2 linked regions of the Caenorhabditis elegans genome follow. The protein of the gene in region 1 interacts with the protein of each later gene in a pairwise test. Each region holds a gene or a part of one and is shown on either strand. Other genes may lie near its edges.

Region 1 (3,310 bases):
TTTTTTTTAAAACGGAAACAAATGTTAAAAGCCCCTAATTGTTGGGTCTCGTTAGGTATTTGCGGCAAAACCGTAAATTCAAATGATTTCGCATGTTTTTTAAAAGTATTTTCGTTACTTAAAAAAAAAATTTTTTACTTAAAAAAATTGAGTCATTTCCAAATTACACGCGAAACCGGTCTCAACACGATAAATAAATACATTTTTGTTAAATGCAAAAGGGTGTGTGCCTTTAAATAGTACTGTATATTCAAACTTTTATTGCTTTGGAGTTTTATTGATTTTTTCATATTTTCAGGATTAATATGAATAAATATATTTTTAACTCATGAATATATCATAATTATAAATCAAAGAAAACTTTTTTAAAAATCGATTAAAATTCAACAGCGACGAAAGTTTGAAACTACAGTACTCTTTAAAGGCGCACATATTTTTCAAAAATTTGTCGCGTCGAGACCCGATACCGTATTTTTGGCGAAAAAAAAAATCAAAAATTGCTGTCCATTTCTAATTCCGAAGGACCTTCCTGAAAATTTATTTTCCCTGAAAAAAAAGTGACTAGACGAAGAAGAATAAATCGTTGATGTAAGTAAATTTATTCAAATAAAGAGAAAAAAATCAAAACTAAATACAAAAATATATAAAATCAAAATTGCTCGGCAAATTTATCTCTCGCGATTTCTTCATTTTCATCGATTTCGAGAACGGTCTCCGGAAGCTCTTCATCTTCTTCTTCTTCCACGTGGATCTCCTCTTCTTCCTCGATAATCGTTTCCTCCTCTACAACCGTCTCATCCTGACCGGAATTCGCATTCACTTTTCGCTTCTTTGGCTCCAACTTCGGCCACCCATCCAGAGCATCTTCCAGGAAAGCGAAGGCCCACGTCTTCTTGATAGCTTTATCTGCAAAAAATCGATTTTATTAGCTGAAATTTGAGTTTTTTCCACCAACCAATGTCCTTCGTCTGGACGGTTTTTCGTTTTTCCAGCGCTGCGTTCTGATTCGCCGCGTTGCTCAGCTCCTTGATGAAGAGCTCCTGGAAATTAAAAAAATATAATGAAAATTCGAAGAAAAAATGCGATTTTCTCTCACCGCCGCCTTCGCCATCAATTGCAGTGCCTCATTGTTGAGCATCTCGACGTCCGGATTCATTCTGACCACTTTTTTGACTCTTCCCAGTGGCAATTGCGATCGGACGAGCTCTTCGACGTGCTCCTCGATTTCTCGCACGTCCTCCTCGCTCATTTGCGCGATCGGAGCGGCTTTCTTGGTTTTCTTTCGCCAGGCCATGTTTTAAATCTGAAAAATATTCAAAATTAAGCAAATATTTGAAGAAAAACAATAGAAAATGCATTTTAAAATGCGAAAAATCAGAAAAAAAATAAATTTAAAAAATCAAATTTTCAATTTTTTCCGCTCTGGACGCAAACACCATCACGCGCAAAGGCAGACGAGAAAGTGCGCTCCATTGCAAAAAATATTTTTAATTCTTTTTTTCTAATGTTTCTTGCTTTTTTTCTCAATTTCATCTTGAAATATTGCTTTCCACTATTGAAAAATTATATTTTTTGTCGAAAACTATTCAAATTTAGATGGCAACCGATGCGCTGTACAACGAGGTCGCCGAAATTATCCGCTGCGTTTTGGCCAAGGAGAAAAGTGTGAGAAATGCGGTCTACGGGAGTTCGTATAAAGTTAGTTTAGCAGTTTTACGGAAAATCAATTCGTGGAAAGCAATATTTTATTATTTGCTCTGTTTCTTCTTTTGCTGTTGGATTTTCTTCCGTTTTATCTCGTTTTCTACCTCTCAAAATCCATTGTTTAAATTATTTTCCAATTCTCACAGGTAATAAAATGAAAGACGAGCCAATCATGGCCTGCGCCGAAGAGAATCCCGACGAAAAACCCAAATGCAACCCCTTCGGAACCCGATTTTTGACCGATGACACCAAAGTTTTCGAGCACAACGCATGGGACGACGTGGAATGGTCCCCAGAGCAACAGGAAGAAGCTCAGCGGATTGTGCAAGGTCAAAAGTCGATGAAGGTTGATGAGGAGAAGGCGATGCGGCTTTTAAGCACCCCAGCGGATCAATGGGATGCTTTTTATGCTCATAATGAGAATAGATTCTTCAAAGACAGGAATTGGCTGTTAAAAGAGTTCCCAGAGCTTAATGTGGAGGATGAGAGTAATTTACAGGTAATTTACAGGTAATTTGAGCATTAAATATTCAAAAAAAAAACATTAAAACATAAAAAAACCTTGATTTTCAGAAAGAAAAGATAGAAATACTGGAAGTTGGCTGTGGCGTCGGAAATACCACGTTCCCACTGCTCCAAGTGAACAATTCCAGCTCCCGGCTCATGCTGCACAGCTGTGATTATGCTCCAAACGCGATTCGAGTCCTGAAATCCCAGGACGCCTACGATCCGGAGAAAATGAACGCATTTGTGTGGGATATCACGCAACCGGCTTCCCAGGAGGCTCCAAACGTCGGATCTCTAGACTATATTGTGTGTATCTACGTGCTGTCGGCTATCCATCCGGATAATATCAAAAATGCTCTGAAAAATCTCGTCCGGCTGCTCAAACCCGGTGGAAGTCTGCTGCTCAAAGACTACGGGAGATACGATTTAACGCAGTTGCGATTCAAAAAAGATCGACTAATCGACGGAAATTTGTACTGCCGAGGAGACGGAACCCTGGTCTATTTCTTCGATATGGAAGAGTTGGAGACGCTGCTCGCCGAGCACGGGCTTCAGAAGAAAGTGATGCACGTGGATCGACGGCTCATTGTGAATCGAGCGAAACAAGTGAAAATGTACCGGCAGTGGATTCAGGGCAAATTTTTGAAGTCTTGTTAATTGATTTTTTTTTGTTTTTTTTTTTATTGAAATTGTTGTTTTTAATCTAGAAAATCGGCTCGAAAACTCATTTTTCAGTGAAAAATAACTAAAAATTGTGAAATTTTGTCTCGAAAAAGGCAAAAATTCAATTTTTCTAGTAAAAACTGATCGAATTTCAAATTTCCAATTGAAAATTGGATTTTTCGAATTTTTTTTTGGTGAAAAAGGTGCAAAATTTGTGAAATTTTGGCTCAAAAATAGGCGAAAATTCAATTTTTCTACTAAAAACTGATCAAATTCGATTTTCCCATTGAAAATTGGATTTTTCGAATTTTTTTTTGGTGAAAAAGTCCAAAATTTCAGAAATTTTGGCTCAAAAATGTCCGAAAAATTCTATTTTTCACTATTTTTCGAGTAAAAACTGATCGATATCGAATTTTCCACTAAAAATCCGGTTTTT
Region 2 (3,133 bases), on another chromosome or scaffold:
AAGGAAAAGACGAAGACTCCACAATTCTGACTCATAAATCTTCGAACGGAGTAGTGCAGCTACTAACAACTCGACCCATTGTGTTTCTCTCTTCCACATCCTGGACACCTGATGAACGGTTTGAAATTCTTCTCGATGCGCTGGTTGCATATGACAAAACAATCGGACTCCCGCGAGTTTTGATGATTATCACTGGAAAAGGTCCACTGAAAGCGAAATATTTACAAGAAATTCACGAGAAAAATCTGAAGAATGTCGATGTATTGACTCCATGGTTGGAAGCAGAAGATTATCCAAAGATTCTAGCCTCTGCTGACTTAGGAATCTCTTTGCACACAAGCACGTCTGGATTGGATCTTCCGATGAAAGTTGTTGATATGTTTGGAGCTAAAGTTCCAGCATTGGCTCTAAAATTCAAATGTATTGATGAGCTCGTTGAGGAGAAAACTAATGGATATCTTTTCGATGATTCTGAGCAGTTGAGTCGTCAAATTATTGAACTTTCTCGTGGATTCCCAAATAATTGCAATGAATTGATACGGCTCAAGAAGAATACACAGGAGCAAAAATTCGATTCTTGGGAAGTGATGTGGAAGAGATCAGCTACCTCTGGTGCAGACTTTCGAGTTCCAGACAATGGATTCGCCAAACTTCGTGCAATTATTCAATTCTCATTTTTCGCTATTTTATTGATCATGCCGATTCACTTATTTATGGGCACTTTTTCGGGGGCATTCAGATCGCTTTAATTTTTTTTCGGGGTTTTGTACATTCAATAAACTATTGGCCAAAATTGTTTATCAAAGTGAAATGTTAGAGACAAAAGTGGGACACGCGTTGAGAATCGGAATGAGATTTTACAGGAAGGATCGTTTTGAGCAGGAATGAGTTGGTTATGAGTGATCAGTTCATCAATGAATCTGCAATATTATAAATTATTCAGATAAACTTCAGATTTAAAGAATAGAACTAACCATCGACAGGAGTATCGTCAATAATGTCGTCATCCATTTCAGCATTGACAGAGCTGGATTCAACTGGATTTTTACGAGCGAGAGCCTTCTGCTGACTAATAACTTTCCATTTATCGTTGGCGGACTTGCACTGGAAATTTTAATTTCTTAACTCTTTCGAAACCCATAATTACATGATTGTGAATAGAAGTATTCTCAAGCTCTCGGAGTCCTTTGACAACATCATCTCCTGAGATCGTCTTGTGCTTCTGATCGCGAGCAGATTGAGCCGAAACGTCGGACAAGTTTATGAGAAACACTGCTGCAGCACGAGCGATGACGTCTCGAGCATCTTTTGATGCAGAAATATTGTCTTCTTTCATGAGCCGAGTCACAATTGCTGCTGGCATCATCATTTGAGCAATTCGATCATCGTTTTGATCCACATCGTTTGATGACATTTCTATCTTAAATTATTGCCTTGTTCAGTTTCGAGTATAAAAATGAAGCACAGATAATTAAGGGATTTAAAGCTATCCTTTTATTTTTACTTTTAGTGCGAGCACTTTTCGAGAACAAAAATATTATGAGTTCTCTTTTCTCTCAAAAACGGACAACGTAAGAAGATTTATGGGTGATGGAGGAAGATTCAAAGAAAATGAACAGTTTGAGCTAAATAAATAGAATGCGACGAAGGAAAATGTTTTTTGGGAGGAAAAGGAAGATTTAACAAGAGTGCACACTGAAGATCCTACGCCACCTAAGGTACACGTAGGATCAGGTCACAATTTAAAGATCATTGAATGTTTTTTAAGAACAGGATGGGATTTATCCAGACTTGAATAGCAGGATGGCGACCTGTCCAAGGTAGAAGTAGATAAAGTGCTTAGTCTCGTGGGTCACGTAGCTTCCAAAGTTTCTTCCGACGATGCAATGCCAGGTTGGGTTGTATTTCTTGTCGAACTCCTTCTTGATGTAAGCGGCAATATCCTTCTCGATGTTGTATCTGAAAAAAAAATGTTTTGATTTTATTTTTTAGACTTTCATCGCTTCGCTTTTTTCTTGCACAAGGATCAGATTTGTTCGATCAGCTGGTCGCTCCTGCTCGCCCCCTCCCCTAGACTCGGGCTGCCGTCCACTTTAGTTTAAATCAAGGGACCGATGAGCCGTTCCAAACAGCTAAACGACATTTCTTTACACTTTTTCTCTACTAAGCGACCAAGTGTTGTTCATGGCAATCGAATTATTCAAGCGTTTAAAATGCAATGAGAAAGCTCATAACTCACTTCTCGAGGGCCTGGGTGGCGCAGTCGATGGCGTCCTGTTGCATGTCATCGGACATGTCGGCATTCTTGATCACAGCCTTGCGGTCAACCATTTTGAACGGATTTGGCTGCAAAAAATACAAAATTAAATTAATTGAACACCGGGTACTCGGTAGTAGTTATAATAACGGTTGTGAATGCGGAATGCGGAGGTCAAAGAGATAGATAAGGATAATGGAAGAACGGCAAGGTAATTATTTGAGCGACCCAATTTATGACACGAAACAGGAGTATGTTAGTACGAATAAGGCTCTTCAGAGTATTAAAAATATAATTTGCAAAGCTCGGAGGCACTTGAGTACAGAGTATTTGCGCCCGCAACATGAAAAACTTTTGACGTGAATTGTTTAAATCTGAACAGTTTAGAAATAATGAAATAGATGAAAGAAGAAGAGTTCCCCAGTTATGTGTCATCGGGAACTTTTTTCAAAAGATATTTCATGTCAACAAACAGGCTACTTTTTCGATAAGAGTACACATCAGATTGTACGCATTTATCAGCAGCAGCATTCGTAAGACAACAGAGAAAAGATATCGAAAGTGGAGGAGAATGAAGTGAGCCAAAAGATAACAGTTTCAAAGAGTGGAGGAATGGGTGGCATTGGGAGACGAAAGAGAAGATGGCTGAGCGAAGCCGAGAGCGAGATAGGCGGGGCGCGTCGCACGCTGCACAGCCGCGTCGCACGCGACCCGGCTGTGTTGGAGTGTGCGACTCGGCTGTCGTCGGGGCAATGCGCGCGCACTCAAATGCAAACAGGCGCGTGCCCGCGTATTTCAAAATGTTTTGGGGTGTTGGTGGGAGCGAGAAGAAGGAGAAAAAAAAGAAAAAGTGAAGGGCGTTGGAAGAAACTGCGA

Evidence for each region.
Region 2: the proteins of pole-4 (region 1) and pole-3 interact in a two-hybrid assay, tested with the Caenorhabditis elegans proteins (2 studies listed by BioGRID).

Annotation. Positions count from the first base shown.
Region 1 is NC_003280.10:14,968,052-14,971,361, forward strand, and holds pole-4 (Transcription factor CBF/NF-Y/archaeal histone domain-containing protein), read right to left. Parts: upstream 1,304-3,310; 5' UTR 1,295-1,303; coding exon 1,097-1,294; intron 1,041-1,096; coding exon 956-1,040; intron 907-955; coding exon 650-906; 3' UTR 582-649; downstream 1-581. Other genes in the region: 26S rRNA (cytosine-C(5))-methyltransferase nsun-5, read left to right, coding at 1,597-1,698; metl-2 (tRNA N(3)-methylcytidine methyltransferase), read left to right, coding at 1,859-2,203, 2,278-2,868.
Region 2 is NC_003281.10:6,461,434-6,464,566, forward strand, and holds pole-3 (DNA polymerase epsilon subunit 3), read right to left. Parts: upstream 1,424-3,133; 5' UTR 1,415-1,423; coding exon 1,148-1,414; intron 1,105-1,147; coding exon 975-1,104; intron 921-974; coding exon 904-920; 3' UTR 783-903; downstream 1-782. Other genes in the region: algn-1 (Chitobiosyldiphosphodolichol beta-mannosyltransferase), read left to right, coding at 1-749; dlc-1 (Dynein light chain 1, cytoplasmic), read right to left, coding at 1,782-1,959, 2,240-2,331.